Linked DNA regions of Alligator mississippiensis. The protein of the gene in region 1 purifies or fractionates together with the protein of each later gene. This does not show direct contact. Links are inferred from orthologs where the notes say so. Each region holds a gene or a part of one and is shown on either strand. Other genes may lie near its edges.

Region 1 (11,133 bases):
GACACCCAGATAAAAACCCAAACACCCAGACTGACATCCAAACTCCAACCCAAGGCCCACATGTTCAAACACTATTCTCTCTCCCCTATTCATAATTTTGTAACGTCTCTGTGGCAACTACAATTTCTTACATGGCAAAAATGATAACAATAATGTTTTACCTTCTGTTATTAAACCAAATTAGCACTTGGAAATAGAGAGGAGACCCCACACTATCTAACCAGCATTTTAATCCACCAGCAAGAGCTTTATGATCTGTCATTTGAAAACTACATTGCTACAATGTATAAGGAAAAACATATTAAAAATTCTAATTCTTAGTGAAGTTACTAAACATGGCTAGTTTATACAGCAGCAATAGTACACAACATTAGATAAAAATTCCTCAACTCTCTTCTTGGTGTCACTCGGGCAATTTTTTTTCCTCATCTTAGGACAGGTGGCAGCTGTACGAGTGCATCTTGACTAGATATAAAGGGAAAACAAGAAGAAAAGAAAAAACTGTTTGAGAGGTTTATAAGAATCCACACCATAAACTGCAACTGTGTAGCTATGTAGCTATACATTTAGGGAGTTATTAAAACTCAAATTTGCATAAATGGGATATTGAAGCTTAAATTCTAGAACTATTACATTATGTAAATAACTGAACAATTCATAAATGCTGATATGGGACATTCAGCATTATGCACATGCACGGGCTCAATCCCTGTCTCAAATACCCTGGTCTGATGCCACTTCCAGTTCTGTAATCAAGACACAGCTGAATCATCAAAATTACAACAGAGACTCTCAAATTATTCCTGTGCTTCTAGTTACTCTGCTCTCAGTTATATAGTTATGTAGTGAAATTTAAAAGCCCACATACTAAAATACACAGTAAAATAATTACTTTATATCTGGAGGCTGCATTTCTAGAGACAAGAGTGGCTATTGCTACAATCCTTAGTTAGTTCAATCTCTCAGTAGAGTTTATGGTCACTAACTGCTCAATAGACTATACAGAACAGCTGCATTGCATTGCTTCCAACCTCAAAATATCCTTTCCCCCTAGTTTTGATTCCTCACTCTTGCAAAGATCTTCACAAAATACATTAATATTTGGTCTATGTTAGAATCACAGGGAAAATGGGGCTGAATGGGACTTCAGAAAGTCCACTAGCCTAATACCCTGTTCAAAACCAGATCATTTCTAAATCATCCTATATACCATCCTAAATAACAAAATTGTCTAACCTGTGCTTAAACATTTCCAGTGATGGAGAGCCCACAGTCCCTCTAGGCTAGAGAAAGAAGCAGATGAATTTCATCTACCTCAGTGACCCATAATGAGCATTAGCCATCGCAAAGTCAGGACCTGTTGGATATGTAGTTGATGGCTGAGATTGCTACGTGGCCCAGTGTTACATGGGTGTTTGCTTGCCTTCACCTAATCTGGTAAAATACATCTTAAACTTACCCGCCCATTGCAATACTTGTTGCAGGGAGTTCCTGTTCGGTTGTTTGTTGGCTGTGCTTAGGTAAGGTGGCATCACGGGGTGGGGAGGAATCACGAAACATTTTCATTAATATGATCCTTTATTTCAGGTTATTTTTGTGCCTGTGCATGTAGATTTCGCATTTTAAAAAAGATATGAAATTCTGCCAAGTATCTTTACATAACTAGCTTAGCTTGAAAAAAAAGTTGATTGACTTATTAACAATTTACCCTAGTTTTCAGGAAAATGGTTTGCCTGTTTCTTTCTGAAAATTTTCCTTTAAAAACCACAAATTCTTTTCAGTTTTGGAACGCAATAAAGTCTCCATCACTGGAAATTTTTAAGTGCCAGTGAGAGAGATTTTTTTGTCTTGGCTAGTTTAGACAAAAATGATCCTATTTTGAACAGGCTATTTGGCTAGTGGATTTCTGGAGGTCCCATTCAGCCCCGTTTTCCTATGATTCTAACATTGGCCAAATATTCAGGTATTTTGCAACCATCTTTGCAAGCGTGAGAAATGAAAACTATGAGAAAAGGATGACAAGCTGCTGGGATTGCAGCTGCCAGTAGAGATTGGCTTGTTACATTGACACCTTAGGTACACAGCTAGTCTGCACTAACATTTCCTGTTATTACCCTTACTTCAGCCTCTGTTCTCTCTGGTTCCTCTCACCTGCCTGTTCTGTCTTGTCTTTTCAACACCGATCTTACAGTGTGCTCATGCACAGGTAGAGCTACTCTGCTGTCACATGTGGAGGTGTTGCCCTGTGGGGTCAGTCCAACTCTCAGGATCTCAATATTGCACTGTTAGATAGGAGGGTGTGACACAATTGCACATATACAAACACACAAATCAATTGGGTGCATACACACACACACAATACCAGCTCAGGGACATACACATCCAAACCAGCCTAGGCACATGCATACCTATCACCAATTCAAGTACATACACTATACACCCCAAAAGTTAGACACAGATCACTAATTTGTATATCATGCACACAATGACATATATATATGTATATATACACACACACACACTCACCAGTTCACACACATACACATCCACACAGGTAAATTCCTAATTTGGATGGTACAGTGTATATGTGTGTGCTTGGGGTACCTGGGATACTTGGGGGAAGGTTCAGGTGAGAGAGAGAGAGTTAAAGCGCAGGGAGTGAAAGTTGCCAGAACCAGGAGTAGAACCAGTGGACTACAGAGAAGCTGGCTGAGGAACCAAGGCTTAGGATTACTTAAGGTAGACTGGGGCTGAAAACTGAGGCAGACAGCTGAGATATTGGGCAGGGGAGGCAGATAAGTGGTGGCAAGGAGGCGACAGTCAGGAAAGAAACTGAGGCAGAAACCTGGATGCTCAGGGGAAAAGGAAAAGGCAGAGGGAATAAGACAGTGGCAAAGAAACAGGGGGTTTGGAGGCAGAGAGGAGCTCAGGACAAGTGTTGGAGGTGGCAGTGAGCCAGAAGCAGGAGAGGGAGAAATGAGACAGAAGTTAGAGGGGCGAGGAGCAGAGATTGGAGCAGGGCCAAACCCTAGTAAAGCAAAACCCAACTTAGGGGTCCAAATAACAGTTTTATTAACAAGACAACACACTACACAGTCCCATGAAGTTATTGGTTCACACATGCACATGCACACGCGCGCGTGTGCACACACACACACACGCACTCACAATGGCAGCAGGAGAAAGAGACTCAGTGGAAGGGTTGGAGTCCAGGTGGGGAAGAGAAGTGGAGTCCAAGTCCTTGGTTGAAGAGGGGGTGATAGCTACCTATCCAGGCTGGAAAGGGGTCTTTGTCCAGCAGGTGTTGTCCAGAGGGGGGGTCGTCGGCAGGGCCTCTGGGTGGATAGGTGGTGTGGCATGGTGCTGGTCCAGATGGAGAGGGCGTCCCACGGGGTCTGTCTTCACTCCCCCTTTTTATAGGAGCAGATTCTGTGTGACCCTAGTGACAGGAGGCATGCCCCGGTAAGGGTCAGCCCCTGGTTTACTGAGCATGTGTGCTCCATGCAGGGATGTGCAGTTTCGTGTGTCTGTAATGGTGGGGTACAATGGTAGAGTTACTAGTTCTGTAGGATTTTTTGTCTTTCAAATGTTGGGTTCTTGTCTCTGTTCCTGGGTGAGGTCCATGGTTCCTGGATGAATCAATGCGAGGTGATGGCCTAGTCGTTACAGACAGTACAGGCCTGCTACCATTGTATTTCACTCATTCCCAATCGCTCTCATTCATCCTGGAACCAATTGACATGGGAGGGGTACATGAATCATACAGTTGCAACACAGGGGATGCTCAGGCAGAGGACGCAAGACGGAGGCTTGACATACAAAATGGAAACTTGACATGACTTATGCTAACTTACATATATAGGCCTAAAACAGTAATCACACAATATAAAAGCAGTACAAACATAATAATTATCACTTATAAAACAGTGGGTATCGATATCAAAATAGTAGGGAACTTATTTGCAGAGGGGAGAGAAAAATAAAACTTACTACCTAAAATAAAATGTTAAAGCTTATCCTACATCTTAGCTTACTTATACTTCTCTATAGGGAATAGAGAGGGAGAGAAAAAGTCAGAAATGGTTGGGGAAGGGGAGGGAATGCATTTTAAAATAAATAAAAAAAAGAAAAACTGCGGGTTTTGCTACAGAGGTACCAGGGGATTCACTGGGCCTATACAGAGAAACAGCTCAGGTGTTAACATGGAAATACAGGCCTGGAAGAGACCTTTTCAGTGGTGGACCCAGGGGTGGTGCCATGATGCACTTGCACAACCCTTAGATTCTGGGTCCCCCTGCAACGTTTAAAACCAACTGCCTGGCAGTGGCAACAGCACTTCTAGTTAGGCACTGCAGAATGAGTCCATTGACTTCATGACTCATAATCTACTTCATCCCTTTATCCCTTCTAAACTCTTAATCCTCCTGAAATGAACAACTCTCTCTTCTTTTTAATGGTCTTGATGTTCAAGCTCACCTTATGTCTGCCATTCTCCAGTCTCTTCACTGCTCCTGGTCATTAAACTCCTCTTTCACAGTCCAGCAAATTGTTTTTGCTTTTGCTTTGACCTTAAAATGAGTAATCCAGCCCTAGGCCCTGAGAGTATTAGTAAAGCATCCGGTTTATTTTTAACCAGAGAAAAACATGTGTGGTTTTTATTTGTGCTGATGCACCTCACCAGCTGCATGCCCCCCCTCCCCCCTTAGATCTGCCCATATGCCTCTTGGTTCTTTGTGTCCAGCCCCTGGACACCATGTTACATGTTGCCAGAGGACCCCTCACTCATCAGGCCTTTGGGGCAGGGACTGTTTGTATGCTGTTGGGCCCAAAAGAGCCCCATATGACCACACATGTGATGGCAGGAATTCTAACAAGGTTCTCGAGGCGGTTGGCATAGGGATGAGCCTGCCTCAGGCGAGGGGTTGAACTAGATGAGCTGTGGAGGTCCCTTCCAGTCCTCCCTTTATTCTATGGTCCTATGATCTCTGGATGGGAGTATGTAGATCTCTTTCCATCCCTGCCTCTATTCTGTAATCCTGTGTTCTCGGGATGGGGGTATGTAGGTTCTTTCCATCCCTGGCTCTACGTTCCTGTGGTCTCAGGATGCGGGTATGTAGGTCCTTCTCAGCCCCTCCTCTCTATTCTAGTTGATGATCTAGTTGAGGATGGTCCTGCTGTGAGCAGGGGGATGGACTAGTCCCTTCCAACCCTCATTTTTGATGATCCTGTGGTCTCGGGATGGGAGTATGTAGGTTCTTTCCAGCCCGGCCTCTATGATCCTGTGGTCTCTGGATGGGGGGTACATAGGCCTTTTTCAGCCCTGCCTCTATTCTAGTTGATGATCTAGTTGGGGATGGTCCTGCTTTGAGCAGGGGGATGGACTAGTCCCTTCCAATCCTGAGGTCCTTTCCCCCTCTCGTTTTCTACGACCTGTCATCTCCAGATGGGGGTAGTTAGGTAGGTCCCTTTTAGCCCTGCCCCTCTCTTCCAGGTGATGAACTAGTTGGGGATGGTCCTGCTCTGAGCAGGGGGGTGGACTAGTCCCTGCCAGCCCCCATTTGCGATGATGCTGTGGTCTCCGGGTCGGGGTGCGTAGGTCCCCTCCAGCCCTGCCTCTACGGCCCCGCGCTCTGGGGCTGGGCGGACGCGGGTCCCTTCCAGCCCTGCCTCGCTGACCCCGCGGCTGGGCGGCGGGCAGGCGGGGAGCGCTGCGGGAGCCCCGCGAGACTGGCGGAGGGGGCGGGAAAGCCCGGTCCATCCAAGCCGCCCGCTGCCTCCATCTCCGAGCCGGCCCGGCCGGTCCCGCGCCCACACCTGACGGAGCGCGCCGCGGCCCGGCCCGGCTTGGCGCGGCGCCCCCCTCTGCCGCGGCCGCGAGGGGCCGGCTCGGGGCGGAGCGGGGAGAGGCTGGGGGGGCAGGAACTACTGTGCGAGGGAGAAAGTCCTGCCCAGCTGTTGGCGAAGTTTTTAAGATTTCCTGTTTCCCCTGCAGCGCCCGAGTGACTCACTCCCCGGCAGCCTGCGAGCCTCCGCCGCGGCCTCCCGCTCGGCCCGGCCCGGCCCGGCCCGGCCCGGCCCCGCCATGAGTCCGGCTCGGGGGCTGCTGCTGCTGCTGCACGTCTGTCTGGGCTGCGGTGAGTGTCCGCCGCGTCCGGCTGACAGCGCTGGCGGGGAGGCGCGGTGCCCGCCCCGGCCCCCGGGAGGAGCCGTGCGCCGTGGAGGGCAGGGCGCTGCTGGGCACCCCTTCCCAGCCAGGGCAGGGGAGTGGAGGGGATGAATGCCCCCTCGGCCCAGCTGTCCGGCGGCTTGGCTGTTCCTGGCACTGCTGGAGACGGGGCATCTCAGCAGTGCCCAGGGAAGGCAACTCAGCTCCCTGTGTTGTGCCTGCATCCCTGAGGTGGTTGCTCCTTGGGGCGGCGTGTGGGCCCTGGTGCACATGGGGTGAAGCGGACAGCTGCGTCTCCCAGGCGCTACCTGTCAAGTGGTGGCAGATGCCCTCGGGAGGACTTGGGATCTGCTTTCGCTCCCAAAACGGCTGCGGTGCGGGATTGGACAGCCATACCCCACCCCCCTTTGCCAACTCGATAACACTCCCCTGGATGTTTTTAAGCCCCTCCAGCTCCTAGTGCTAGTCACAGATGGATTTGTCTCCTGCCAAAGGTCTGCCAAGGGGCTTGGCCAGTGGAGGGGAAAACAAGGCCCCTGCCTTGAGAAGTTGGTAGTCTGGGGTTTCTCATCCTACACCTACACCTCTGCAGGCAAGCTCAGCATGACTGCTCGCATGTCAAAAGCTGCTCCTGTAGGCGCACAGGGGAGTAGGCCCCAAAACCTGCTTGTGAAAGCAGGGTTGCCTGTTAGTACTGCAAGGTCCAGAAACTAAGGAAGTGCTGAGGGGCCAGAGGCTGGTGGATTTTTAACTTGCAAACAGCTTTTATAAATCAAGTGGATACCTAGAACCGAAGGCACGTATTAAGGTACTAAATACCTATCCTTAGGTCCTCAAGTAACATGATCACTGTGTAAACTGCTGAACGGTTCTGGAATCTGTCTCTCTCCTCACGTTCCTTTAATTGGCCTGTATCTGATCAGTAAATAAGCACTCCACCAAGCCGTTGTTCCTTATCGTCTTTTAGCAATCATCCAAAACTGCTGATGCTGTACATACTTGAGTTGCTTTTTGCACAGTGAGTAATCTTGTCAAAGCTAATAGAACTGCACACCTGGACAGTTTTTGGGACAGATGTGACAATGATATAAAGTTTGTATCTTAAAGAAGGCAGCGTATGGATGAAGGCTTATCGTAGCATAAGAATTTTGCACCTGATATATTCAGCCTTCTGCCTGAACTTTTTTTACGATGATGTGTTTTTGGTACCTAATAAGTGATGATTGTGATGACTGTGATAATATTTGTTCTTGGGCAATGAAAATAAAGTAATCCGTTGCACTTGTTGAAAGTCATTTTCCAGTAAGTTCCTATTTCAAGTTCTTTTGCATTAACCCAATTTTGTAAACTGTAGTTTTTCTTCCTTTAGACAATGATGAGGCAGATCTTTAGTTATTGCGGATTGGTATTGGTCACTTGATATCAGTGGAGCTATACAAATATACACACAAGCTCAGGATCTGGCCCAATGTGTTTCAATTTGAATTTTTGAAAGGTTAATGGATACATTTGATTTTAGTTTAGCTCTTAACTTTTGTAAAAGATTATACCTTATAACCTATATTTAACCAGAGTGTGTTCTTTTAAAACCAAGCACTTTTTTTTTCCAGGATGAATTGTTATAGCTTCAAACTTGTTTATAATATAACAGTAGGAAACGATAATTCCTAGTTGTTAAATGTGAAAAGGTTTTGTATGAGTAGTCCTATATTATATTTGTTTACAAGATTGAGGATGGAGCTTTTTAATATGATTTAAAAATGTATATTCATAAATCTTCATCCAATAATAGTTCCTCTTCTGGGGGAGGAGGGGAGGAAAGGAGAACACGGTGTTGTTGTGGCACCAATTGATGAAGTTTCTCATGACCAGATTTCCTCTGCAGGATATTTTTAAATTGGTATTTTTGCGTTTGTGGTGTAGGGACTTTTTCCTTGTAGTGTCTGTATCACAGCTCTGCCGTGTTCTTTCTGCAGTTACACTTCTGTGTCCCCACTGCAACACCACTAGCTTCAGTAGAGTTACTCCAGTTTGCACTGCTGTAAATGAGCAGAACCGAAGCTGTGGACCTTATTCTTTAGTGCTGCCACCTTGTGTAGCAATTTGCATATGGGCAAAGTGGGTATTAAATGTGAATACTCATGCAAAGGAAAAATTATAGTCTGAAAGTGCTTTACACATGCAGTATGCTTTGAAAGTATCCTTCAGTTCTGCTGAGGTGGTAGAATCCAAAGCTTTCAGCCACCTTTTTGACACTACAATCCTGGGCTTGGCTGGAGCCACTTTTGGCCTCCAGCATAATTGAGAATTCAACTCTGAACTATTGTTACTTATTCACACCTGCTTATGACCCTAAAGGGCAATTCTGGCATCTGGTATTCCCTGAATTCTCAGCTTGGCATATTGCAGAAGTTTCAGATGCTTTGCAGCTTCCAAACAGTGCAAACCAGGTAGTATGTGGTTAGTTTTGTATGGAGGTAAAGGACTACATAGGTCTTTGTAGTACAAACCAGTGCAGAATCAGTCCCTCTGTTGTAAAATGGGAAATCTCTTATAGCCCTACCTTCAAAGAGTCAGTGCCATTTTCTTCCATCTAGTTTGCTTAATTTTTATTTATTTATTTATTTATTGGCCTCAGAGCTCATCAAGTATGTATTTTCTTTTTCTACCTAATAATGAGAATAGGATGTAAAGTTGCTTTTGGTCAGTAGAAAAATGAAAATGGGTGGGTATTTTCTTGAATAAAGCTAATCGGAGAAGATGGAAATAGCCCCAAATAAGTAGAAAGAATGGGCTTAATCTACAGAATATTCAGGCAGTCTTGAGCTAGGGACAGAAATTACATATAAACCAGTATAAGAAACTGGTTCAGATCTGTAACAAATCAGAAGTTCAGTGCACATAAGCCACATTAGAAATGGCCAAAATGGTTTAAGATAAATCTGGATGGATGTAGTATCAGACTTAATTGATTTAGGTTAAATCAGTTTATTGAACTCCTGTCCCAGATCCTGTCCAGATTCAAGTAGACTTGCAGTCCCCTGGCTTCCCAGAATGCTTTGCACCTCTTCTGCCAACCCCAACCCCACCTTGTAGGGCTAGCCTTGGCCCAAGCTGTCTGCTCCAGTGAAGCAGGGAGTCTTACTCTAGCACCCCCGGCTTCTGACCTGAGCCACTGCAGGCATGGGGCTGTATTTCCAGAATCAAAAGTGAATGTCTGTTCACTTGTTTATCGGCTCAATCTATACAGCTTAGACTAACTTGAGAAGATTGAATAGATTCAGCCTCAGTCTTTTTGACTGTGAGTTCTTAATCTTGATGTTCAACTCTGTTAGTGGGTGGCTGTGATAAGAGTTAAGAAATTAAACCTCATTCTTGCTACCTCCTTGCCTCTGAGTAATCTGTTTATTACAAATGAGCACTGCTTTAGTTAGTGTAGAAATGAGACTGAGCATGGTTACTATGTCAGAGTGTAATGGGACTGTTTCTGAGACCAAGTGAAGCATTCTCTAGTAAATGCATGATCTGGTTTTAGTGCTGTAAGATAAATTTTCAACATGTATCTAAGACTTGTGTAATATCCAATAAATATAAAGTAGGGTAAACTGATATCAGTTGCATGCACCCTTATCACCAACTATCTGAAAGCATGAAATTGTAGTTTACATGTAGGGTTTTAGGCCTGGAAAGATGTGTTCCAAACATAATATAATAGTGAGTTTCTTCCTCAGTATGAGCCTGATTTCAGGAAAAGAATTAAGCACATGATTGAATAATGTCACACACCAAGAAGCTCTTAAATATGTTCTTAAGTCTTGTTGATTTTTGGTGGGATTTAGGCAGTCCTTAACATTAAGCACACGTTTAAGTGCAGTCTGAGTACAGATGCTCTACTCAGGCAGGTCCTTCTTCAGTTTATTCCCATTATGACAAAATTTAGCAACTATTCTAAACTGTAAAATGGGTGTATATCACCAACATTGGCAAGAAAAATACTAATTAGTAGATTTCAGTGGTAGCTTCACCTTTGTAAATAATTGAAGAGCCTGTTTCTGGACAGTTAAAACAGTCTTAACCTTATATCAAAGTGGATATATTTCTATATCTACATTAAAGGGTTAATGCAACACATTTAGTTCATAAGATAGCATGAAACTAGCAGTATTCGATCACTATCTTTTTACTCCCCACAAGCATCCAAAGACTTAGGGCTAGATCCATGAGCATCTTCAGGTTCCTATCTTTCCCACATTTCAGTGAGTGTTAGGCACCTGAATACTCTTGTGTAGTTGGGCCTTTGTCCTTTGGTTCTCCTAGGTACAACACATAGAGCACCTCTTGTCCTGCGAGAGATTATTGTCCCCACTTTCTTACTCCTTACGGCACGGTGTTACATTACAAATGCCTTTGAATATAAAAGAGTTATTTGCTTGTGCGCAGAGGGAAAATACAAGGTGCCAGTCAGGCCCTATGGATTTCTGAAATAATCACTAATACTTATATTAACTGTGGTGAGAAGAATGTTTTTATATTAAGGGATTATATAATGGTTTCCAGAGTAACATTGGAGTGGGGGTTCACATCCCATTGTGTGTGATCCTAACGGATCCAAGATTATTGTTATGATTGATATTACTGTAACGCTTTAAGGCTTCAACTGAGTTCAGGACCTTATTATTCTAGGCACTGTACAGCCACATGATAAAAGACAACTTCTGTACCCAAGTTTTGTATTCTAAATGTGTAGACCAATATACAATACAGGTATGTTGGTATTAAACACTAAAATGTAATGATCCTTTAGGCCACATCTAGAGTGGGAATTTGTCGTATCCATCAGCAGCATTCTCAAATATGCTGTACAGTTTTGCATGCATGTTGACACCTGTGCCAGGAAGGGTATAGCCATCTGTGTGGCACTGAAAGCAGGTGAATTAGCACTGCTGAGAGTCCATCATAAGCCCTCC
Region 2 (10,722 bases), on another chromosome or scaffold:
TGTATCCCTTCTACTTTGCGCAATAGATATTTGGCGTCACACTCCAGGAACCCAAAGTTTAGTATAAGAACACAGTGTAATGCAGAGACATTAACACCACCTCTGGCCTCTACCTGACCCCTCTGATTAAATGATTGGGCTGCTCAAGATGTCATTAAAAGTCACATTTTTTTCCCTCAGGATTATGTGGCCTGACTTCCACATCAGCTGATCCCTTTCCACTGGAGCTTTTGCAGAGAAGTCAAGTAGGAGGCAGTTTCAGTTCAACTCATTGACATCCCCGTACCCACCAGCTTATTCCTTTTGTCTCAAGGAAATGCCTGTAGCCCAGTGTATTTAGCACACAGCAGTAAGGGCCAGAGGAACACAGCAAGTAGGAGAAACCCTCTGGCCCAAGGAGGTCATGGGTTGCATGGATCTGATTAAGGTAAATGGCAAAACTGATTATATCAAATACAAGAGTGGTGCCAAATGTATGCAGACCTGTTCTCCATCGCTGTCTGGGTACTAACAGTCCCTTAAATGTGACTGCAGCTTTCACTTTTTGGCCACCCTCTCAGGACACCTCATTAACATCCACTTCAGAAGGTTCCCAGGGGCAGGAGGAACGTGGCAAGTCAGTGGTAGAGCTGAGATGAGACCGCAGGATCTCATGACCTCACGGACTAGACCTATGCTTGCTCCTCCGGTCCTCTGTGCCTTTGGACTTGAGCAGTGTAGGTCATAGCTGTGTTGGTCTAAGGACATACCCAAAGAGACTTGTCTGCCTAAATCCAATATCTTTTACTAGACCGACTCAAATGGAAAATTCTTCTTAGCAAGATTTCAGGCATAAACACCCTTCGTCAGGCTGAGGAAGACTCTGAAATCTTGCTAAGAAGAATTTTTCAAACTATTTGAGTCGGTCTAATAAAAGATATCGGATTTATCCAAAGAATCTTATCTGCCTTTGGACTTGAGCAGCATCCATGGGCAGTGTGGCCCAGTTTGCTGTGTGACCCACTCCAGCAGGAGGCAGCACCAGCCTGCAGGCAGACCTACTGACCAGGGGCAAGCACTCCATCAGCTTCCCTTGTGCTGTAACTGGTGCTGAAGTAGGTGGCTCTGGAGCTGATTAGTTACATCAGCCAGTGAAAGGGGATAAGTGAAGAGATGAGAGGGAGCAGAGCTGGGTAGACTTACAGTTGCACAGAGTAGACACAAGTCTTGCACACTAGTGTCATCTGGAATAACTCCAATGAAGCTAGAATTCAATGGGAGTAAAATTAGAAGGAGAGGAGAATTAGTCCTTTCCTCCCCCTTCAAGGGCCAAGCCCATTTAAGCAGGGAGGAGTGGATGGCCCAGTGGTAATAGTGCTACCCTGGGTCTCGGGGCATCCTAGTTCAATTTCCTGCCCTGCTACAGACTTTGTGACCTTGAGCAAAGCAATTAAGTGCTCTCTGCCTCAGTATCCCCACCTGTGAAATGGGAGGGCAGTGCTATTAGTCCCTATGGTACTGCCCGTATACCAAGGGTGTGTGGAAAAAGGGAAGCCAGCTCCTTGCAAGAGTGACGGGTCAGGCTGACGACAAGGGAGGCGGTGATGTGCGGACACCTGACTGAGCAGCAGGGGTCCCAGACAACGCATTTCCACCAGTTTGTGTCCTGTGTCAGGGGCGCCCTGTGGCAATGCAGGAACCTCCTGTTATACAGGCACGCCAAGCTCAAGGAAACAGACTGCGTTAAAATGTTTCTGAGCGAACTTTAGTCCTACCGCCAGAAATTGGTGAGTGAGGATGGAGAAGATGCAGCCAACTTCATCTGGAAAAGCGACACCTGGCACTGGTTGTTCAAAGACCCCTCAGGAGGGAAAGTGGACAGAGAGAACGAAGGGGACAGAGATGCAGCTGGACCTGGAGACAGCAAGAAGGACTGCAACAGGATTAGCAGCAGCAGAAGTGACAGCGATAAGGACAGCGAATGAACTGAGAATAGCCCAAACCCCAATTTGGGGTTTCATAGGAGTGTGATTGGGGTAGGTGAGGGTGGAGGGTAGGTGTGCAGGGGAGTGGGTGTGTTTGTTGTAACGGGAAGTGCAGGCTTCTAAATGTGGTTTTAAGATGTGTGATGGAAAGTTTATAACGGAGGGTGGAGGGGTGTATATAACTCTCTCTCTCTCACATACATATATAATTTTAATTTCAAAAAAGAAAAAGGTGAGAGAGAGAAGAATCATGTGCTAATGTGGCCCAGGGCTGGGAGCTGGGGGATAGGCTGCCCCTGACTCTGAAGACACCTCTGCCAGGACATTAAGCCTGGTCCTGCCAGAGGCTCTGCACCTTCCGTGCTCCTCGCGGGGAGGAACTGTCGGCTGAAGGGGCCGCGGCTGAGCCTACACGTCTCGGGGAACAGCAAACAATGGCACCGGGACCTCCGCACGCTTCGTTCCATCCTGTTGTCCTCTCCCTACGCCAAGAGGCTAAGGCTCGTTCTTTCCTGCCATTGGGGCGACTGGCCAGGAAGAAATGTGTTACCACAAACATGCGGGTTGTCAGCAGGGCACTTCCCACCCACCTTGAAGACAGATCAATCCATCGATCTCTGCCTCTAGCCCCGGCCAGGCCAAAGATAACAGAGGGGGAAATGCAAAGGGCCAGCTGTATATACAGCTATTCCAGGAGGCAAGGCCTTTCAGGTCATGTTCCTCTTTGATCTCCTGGAGTCAATGGGAACCGACCAGTCAGGAATGCGTCTCGTCCAGCATGCGGCGTGGAGAGAGACACGCTCCAAGGCAGACGTGTAAGGCACCGGATGAAGGGCCAGACTGGATGCAGCCCAGGCGTCTGCTGGAGGAGGGCTCTGTAGGCGAGGCTTGGCCGAGAGCATGTGCTCTAGAGGGAGGATTTGACTGGAAGGGAAGGCGCCAGCAGTGGCATTCAAGCCCTGGAGGGTGCTGGTGGGGGGCCTGTGAGAAAGGGCAGGGGATCGGCCTTCCCCGCCTTCTCCCCTTGGAGCTGGACTCTTGCGCCTCTTTGCCCCCTAGCTCTTGCTGGGCGCCTTGCTGGCTGTATGAGCACTGTGTTGCTTGCCATCTGCCTGGCCAACCCTGTGGCTGTTGCTGTAGCTTTCTGGCCACCTCCTTCCAACCCAAAGCCTATGTGTGAGGCATTCACTTGGCTCTTGGCATCCTTGTGACACCTCCTCCTGCCCCACAGCTACCTAAACATCTTCTGCATCATTCAATGGCTGCTGCCATGCAGAAGCAGTGGGATAAACATTTGCTCCTGCCTTTGATCCCTGGTGCCACCTGTTCATTTGTTTGAAGTCATGGGAGACCTGGCCCCCAAGCCTGGGGTGGCACGTACTGCCCTGATGCGTGCCCGAGTGCAAGCAAGAAAGGGAACCAAGACAGTCCTCTGCATCCCCGTTTCCCACTGAGGTGGCAATGGAGCAGGAGTGGCTTTGGAGGCCTGCCTTCGACCCTTGTTCTTCCCAGTACTTGTTTCCCCCATCAGGGACCTGGGATGCCAGGGGGCTGTGGGGGAGCAGCTGAGAGGAGCCCTGCAGTCTGGGAGAGTGAGGGACCAGGTGCTTGAGAGCAGCAGGGAGCAAGAGCAGCCTGTAACTAGCTGAGAGGCAAATGGGTTGCTGATCTCAAAACAGCCCCTCTTCCATGGTGTCCTGGACACTGCTGTGGGCTCTTTCCAAACACCCACAGCCCTTCCACGTTGCCAGCATGCGGGTGCTGTCCCGTTATCTTGACGGCACTCTGGATTCAGGAGCCAAACCCTGGGGAGAAACCCAGATGGACCTGCCTTTTTCCGCAGGTCCATCTCTGATTCTGAAGGGTCTGTCTGAGCCCCAGGAGCCTGGTCTGCCTGGGCTGAAGTGCTGTGGCCATGGGAATGATCACCCGTTCCCCTCTGCCGCTGCGGCCCCTTGGCTCCCAGCTCCGTGCAGTCCCTGTTGTTCTGTCAACAGCAGGTCTTTAGCCCTGTCCTTGGATAGCAAGTAACCAGAGAATGAGGCCCCTGTGAAACGTTTGTCTCCTAACCTGGCTGCAAACTGGCTCCACACGTAAGGCTAGAAGGGACCCTCCTGAACCACATTGAGGCCCCTGTTGTGTCCAGTCGCAGCTCACAGCTAAGAGCCCATCCACGTCCGAGCCAGGGCCACAGGCTCCTTGCTCCAGTTGTAACTTTGGTGTGAACCAGCCCTTAGACTTCTGCACAGTGCCTGGATTAACAGCCACCTCCCACTACCTCTGACCTGCGGTGCTGCTGGGCGAAGGCCAGGGTGGAGTACGCTGGAAGTCTGTGCATGTTCCTGGTGGCAATGTAGGGAGGCCTGCAATAAAGGTCCACGTGATGCTGTCCCCGCTTTGTCTCCGCAGCACCATAGTCCCCAAGATCTCTCTGGGCTGACTGGGGCTGTTGAGCGGCTGCAGTGCTTCAGATTCTGTGTTGTCAGACCTATGAGTCCTGTTTGGTTGGGTTTTTTTCATTAAAATCAACATCCTCCCCTCTCTACATTAAAAACATAACAGTTTACCTCACTTCACCTGTCTGGGGTTGTGTGATCCCAGCATGTGCTCCTGCCAGCGGTGGGGGGTCAGACTAGATGATCCCTTCTGACCCCAAACTACCATGAAACTACATAACACATGTCCAAACTAGCATAGCATCTCCTCATTTACATGCCTTGACATCTACCGTTTCTTCCATCTATGTACTTCTTATCCTTTGGCAGTATGAGACCTGTGTTGTCAGACCTGTGTTGTTCAGGTCTTATGTCTCTGTTCGGCCTCCCACACATGCAGTTCCCACCTGGCTTCCCTCCGTGGTGCTGTGAGTGACACTTCTCCCCCCTCTGTCCCCTGCCATCCAAAGCACTGAAGACTGGCTACTGACTGTAAGTCTTGTATCCTTCCTCCCTCCAGATTCCCTGAAAGGAGGCTTCGGAGACAGTTCTACCCATTTTACAGAGAGGGAAATGGAGGCACAGAGGGGTGCAATGACTAGCCAAAGGTCCCCGAGATGCCAGCCAGGGACTCCCAGTGCTGTGCACCAACCGCTAAGGCACGTTCCTTCCTCAGGATGAGGCAGTGTCCACATACTTCCTGCAGCCCTTGAGGTGCATGCCCCAGTCCCAGCCCCAGCTCCATGCATAGTCTCCTACCCTGGGGCCCCTACAGATGATCTTTAGGATAGAGTGATGCCAGGGGATGATATGTGGCTCACTGGGCTGCAGAAAATCAAATGCAGGCCCGTGGGGGGGAACAGAGCCGCCTCCAGGAACCACCCATGGTCTAGGAGCCCCCTCCTGAGGAGAGGAGGGAGGACTGTGAGCACCCGGCATCCTGGCCGGCTCTCCTTCGGTCTCAGGACGCAGCCCCCACCCATTGCTGTCAGTGCATGACCTCCAGCAGAGGCTCGGAGCCTCTACAAACGGCATTTCCTCCCTCTTTTTGGCAGGCGAGCGTTTGGCAGACCCTCCTCTAAAGGGAGTTGATTTCCTGCCGCTTTGGGTCATCAGCACTGGGTTGAGTCAGTGCCGCACATTCAGGCGCTGTGAGTTCCCCTCCAGCACATCCTCTCGGCGGAGAAGCCGGGACACAACCAGCCACAACCTCCAGGTCCCTGCTTCCTTCTCTGCCACCGACAGCTCAGGAACTCCCCCAAGGCTGGAGTGGAGCAGATCCCCCTTCCTCCGCCTGCCTGCCCACAGTCCCATCGTGCAGTCGTGCAGCCCGTCGAGGCTCTCTGGGGCCAGGCCGCTGCCTCTGGACACGGGCTAAGAGGAGCCAGGACGCGACGCCGGAGCAGGAGGCAGCGTTCCCACGCCATGCAGACTCTCGTGTGCCTCACTGCGCTGCTGCTCTGCTGCTTGCGCGCCCACACAAGTGAGTTGCTCTTCCTTCCCCAGCTATTCCTGAGCTCAGCACGGGGTGGGGGGGGGGGGGGGGTGTTCATTTTGTCTCTTTCTGGCTTGTTTCTGCCTCTTCCTTCTCGCTGGCCTCCTCACCGCTCTCCTGAGCTCCCCGGGCCATTTTCGCAAGTCCTCACGAATTCAAGTCAAGCCAGGCGTTCCTCCTTCCCAGAGTCCTGCTCTGTCCCAGAAAGGCTGGGGCATCTGCCCCTGGTGGGAATCCCCCAGTTTGGTCTCCTCACCTTCTCTGTGGGGAAGCCAGTGATGCTGGGCTGGTGGTTCCCAGCTCCATCCAGCTTCTGAAGAAACAAGAGAGGTGGAAGCATGTCACAGCCCCAGCTCTGCTCTCTGCCAGCGAGGTTCGCTAGGCCTCCACCAGCTGCGCCGTGCCCCCCTGCTGCACTCCCAGGGCTGGGTCGAGGAGAGTCTGTGGCCGCTTGGGGCTGGGAGGTTGGTTGGTGCTGTGTAATGATTTGTTGCGAGGTCCTCAGGGCTGGGGGCAGTGTGCAGAGCTGCAGTGCGAGGCCGGTGGCTTTTTGTCATCAGAGTTGCATCTTGCAAAGAGCTAAGCACCTCCTGGAAAGTGCAAGGGGCTTCAGTGGGGACCACAGGCGCACTGCAGCTCCCAGAATCCAGCTCAGTGGGTCTTATCCAGGATCCATGGAAGTTGATGGACATACTCTCGATGGACTTTGGATCAGACCTATGGAAGCTGGAGGGAGCTGGATGTGGGGTGTTGGTGGCTTCCAGCAAACCTCCAGATAAACGGCTCTTAGGAAATACCCTGGGAGCAGACAGTGCAGAGCCAGTGGGAGCAGCTGCTAAGGGTTCATTTGGCCACAAGGTCACTCCTCCCAGGCTGGGATGCCCTGGGGTTACTGCTGGCTCCCGGAGAGCTGTGCAGCCATGCTGTCAGTGTTGCTTCACCACAGAACCTAGTGACCCGCGATGGGCACGGGCTGACTCAAGCCAGCCAAGGGTCTGGCTTTGCACAAAATGGCTTTTATTTTGATTACTCAGTAAAGTTGAGCCCCGGCTGTTGCAGGCAGAAGGCTGTGAGCTGGGGTTTTGCTGAGGAAACAGCTTCAAGTGGAGCCGGGAGTGGGGGAAGCCTGGATATGTCAGAAAGAAGTACGGACCACAGGTCATCCCCATTCCCCCTCTCTTTGGCTTTTAAAGCCCCAGAGCAGCAGCCGGGGAAGAGGGGGAAGGGGGGGAGAGAAGGGGAAACAAAGAAATCTCTCCCTCAAACTTAGCGGGCTTTGAAACCTGAGACTGTAAAGAAACAGGGAATTTGGCCAAATAGCCTCAATGAAGAGAAATCCTCTCACTGGGATCATCTAGTCTGGAAAAATAAGCTGCTTGGAGAACAGCCCAGCTGTGTTTCTTCACCCTTGTAAAAATCCTGTGAACATGCAGGCCAAAGAGTGAAGCAACATTGGGGCTGGTGCGGGGGAGAGTTTACTTGTCTCCAGCAACTACAGGCGAGCAAAAAATTGGAAGGAGCAAACATTTGAGTGCACAAAAAGAAATGTGCAGGCAAGGATCTCCCTGAGGGGAGGGTGTTAGTTCCCAAGAAGAATGAGAATTAAGTAGCAGAGATGGAGCCAAAATCTTGCTCTGGGGATGAACCATGGCTTTTGCCAAGGGACTGGCCTACATGGCCACATCCAGCCCACAGGGGTAGCGCTGCAGCGGGACGTGGTGGAAAGCTGGGATGGTCATCGCAGCAATCTGAGTCCACTCTGCAGTTTATAATGCTCTGAGATCGCGCTGCTTGGGTAGAGTTGAACAGATCAGCACAGCAGGCTTGGCAGGAGAAGCAGCTTCAGACCCAAGGTCAGGTTTCCAGGAGTGGTAGTGGCTGTGGAGATAACATAGTTACTGGGGGTGGTTTCTGAAATGCATGAGCCCCAGAGAGTGTGAAGGAAGGAAGAGCTTGACAGGCACTGCAACATCTTCAAGGGCATTATTTCTGCAGCTCGCTCAGCTCAAAGAAGAGCTCTGAAGACACGCAAATGTCTCTCTCAGCAGGGTCCGGGAGCAAGCAGTGGAATTTGAGTCAGGGTAGTGAGTTATTGCCAACGCCAAGAGATCGAAGATCAGGAGTCTGGTCCCAGACACCAGAGATTTTAAAACAGGGATTTCAAGTCAATTGAATCAATGTAAACTCTTTGTTTTTAATTTTCCTTTTGATTTCTGAGCCTTGGGGGTTGTGTTTGCAAGGTTTCAGAGGGTTACAGACTTGGTGCTTGAATGGAAAGCTGAGTTTCCTCTAATCACATGACTCCAGGAGCTGGGACTGTGAGAAAAATGCTGTCAAATATCAGAGGGGCTTGTGACAGAATCCTGGAAGTTGGTGAGCCCATAGTAAGGAGGGCTGGGAAAGCGGTTAGCTGGATCTGGGGATCACAGAGCAACCATTGGCTGTGAAAACAGCAGGGGCTGCAGGATCATTCCCAGAGCTCGTGCGATCTGTTGAGAGAGGGCTGCACTAGTCACCCGCGTGGCAGGGTTGAGTGGAAGGGATCTCTCCTGGAAGCCTCGCATGTGGTGGGCTAGCATACTTCAGGTGGGATTGGGGCACAGCTAGAGACTTGCACTGAGACACATCTGTCCCTGGTACAGCATCACTGACTTGCACCCACAAGGTCTTTATTCAAAGCCCCAAGTTTCCTCTGTGTCTCTGGTGGATCCCTAAGGATGGTCCTGTTCATTTCCACCATTGACTGTCTGCGTGATAGCCAAGGACACAGGCCAGGCCACACTTTGAAACCCCTGTGTCACTGGAAGGGAGTCTCCGCTGAAGAATTGGTCCAGCTGTATGCACTGGCTCAGTGGCCACTAGGTCAAAGTTACTACGGGGTTGGCCCCAGCCCAACAAGTGTATGTATGTGTGTTTCTCATTGTCCCGTGTCAAGCGTACACAGCGTGCGGTGCTGTCTGAGAGCCTGAACAGGCAGCCTGCTTGCACCTGTGTAATCTTCACTGGGTTTGTATACCTGTATTGATTATGGGGTCTAGAGGAGACATACAAGGTAGATATTCAAGTGTAGCTGTTCCCAGTATGCACCATTACAGTACCTCACTGCACCTGGGTAGGGAGCAGGCCATAGCCCGCTTGCACTGAGCAAATGGCTACCCTGGGATGGAAGATGTAAGTCACACCAGTATAGGCTGACTTCTCGTTCTTCCCCTGGTAATGCTATCCTGGACTTGGGGCAAGTTACACAGATGTAGGAGTATCTGTGGACTCCTTGTTCATACCAGTTCAAAAATGGCAACTATCCAAGGCCAGACACCAGTCCCTAGGTGCGAGAATCACCATGGCCCAGAGATGAGTAGATATTTCAAGCCTTGGAGACAGAGGGCAGCTCACAGGAAGGTGAGCCCAGCACTATGGCCTATGGCCTTTTGGCTAGAGGCAAGCAAGACTAGGGGCTATCTGAACTCCAGGGCCTCTGGGCTTGGAGTTTGCACATAGGATGCCCACCATGGATTTGGGAGCATCTGAAGTCCCAGGCTGACGAGTCTGAGAGGTAGGATACTTGCCAGTGGTAGTGCAACACAGACTTGAACAACTGCGCTCTGCTCAGTTGATAGAATTTGCAACTAATTTGGCCTAAGACACAAAATTATATATATAAGGGGGAAAGGGACCATTAGGGTATCTAGTCCCATCTGCTGTGAGAAGAAACTGTGTCAACTCAGCTGCTTTCAATTCCACTTATATATTTCTGTTAGCTAGAAAACAATTCCAGTAAATTGGCAGCAGTACGGTGCACGATGCTAATTAATGGCAGAGGGAAGACAAGACCAGTGGGTGTAATGCACATATAGGATTGCTCAAGGTGGGGGTGGGATTTAGGAAAGGGAGGTCTGGTTACAAGAGAAGGAAGCCAATATGGGCATGTCCGTACTGAGGAACTCCGGTTTCTTGTGCTTCTACCTCAAAGCACTTTATGGAGGCATAAACTGCGCCAAGCTCACTGAAATACAGACACCCCTGGGGGTGGGGGCAGCAGCTGTCAGCTCTGCGTATCAGTTCCAGACAGAGTGAAAAACCACCTTTGCCCACAGAAAGGGAGACCAGCTTGGGCACTCCCCAGCGTGCTCTGAGCACCCCCAGCCAGCTCTGATTAGCTGGGGATAGCCTGTGGGGCTGCAGATGGGGTGGGCCAGAGCAGAGTCTAGGCTGGGCCATGCAACCCTTTGCAGTTTTCTTTGAAGACCTCCGAATTCTTCCATACCAGGATTTCTCACATATTGTAAAGCACAGGGAAACAAGCGGCAGTGAAAAGGCAGGGAAAAAAGAAGAATTGAGGTAGATGTGTGTTGCGGGGGGGTAGAGATTTCCGTTTTGGTGCTGGATGCGGAATGGCAGTGGCTTTGGAGTATTTAAGGTACCATTAGGGTATCTAGTCCCATCTGCTGTGAGAAGAGACCACATCAGCTCAGCTGCTTTCAATTCCACTTTATATATAAGACCTCCTAAATCCCACCCCCACCTTGAGCAATCCTATATGTGCAACACACCCACCGGCCTTGTCTTCCTTCTGCCATTAATTAGCATCGTGCTCGGTGCTGCCGGCAATTTAGTGGCATTGTTTTCCAGCTAACAGAAAGGGTCTGATCATATGACTAGGTCCCTGGGCGCCAGGCTATGGCTGTATCTGTGCTTAGCAGTGACTTCTATTTTATACTGCCTGCGTAGTGAAATAAGGGATGTGCCCCAGGAAAGCCTCATGGCAGGGTTTATTTGTCATATATTGACCCGGCTGTGTCTGGAATAGTGGGTTGGGGAAAACTGATGT

What was found.
Region 2: the proteins of TGFBR2 (region 1) and ENG purify together in Homo sapiens (affinity purification with western blotting; 3 studies listed by BioGRID). This does not show direct contact. The link is inferred for Alligator mississippiensis from reciprocal best matches to the Homo sapiens genes TGFBR2 and ENG.

The regions. Positions count from the first base shown.
Region 1 is NC_081828.1:143,382,549-143,393,681, reverse strand, and holds the start of TGFBR2 (TGF-beta receptor type-2), read left to right. Parts: upstream 1-5,978; 5' UTR 5,979-6,082; coding exon 6,083-6,134; intron 6,135-6,778; exon of another isoform or gene 6,779-6,974; intron 6,975-11,133. UniProt on the Homo sapiens protein: Transmembrane serine/threonine kinase forming with the TGF-beta type I serine/threonine kinase receptor, TGFBR1, the non-promiscuous receptor for the TGF-beta cytokines TGFB1, TGFB2 and TGFB3.
Region 2 is NC_081835.1:57,302,867-57,313,588, forward strand, and holds the start of ENG (endoglin), read left to right. Parts: upstream 1-5,478; 5' UTR 5,479-5,824; coding exon 5,825-5,882; intron 5,883-10,722. UniProt on the Homo sapiens protein: Vascular endothelium glycoprotein that plays an important role in the regulation of angiogenesis. Required for normal structure and integrity of adult vasculature. Regulates the migration of vascular endothelial cells.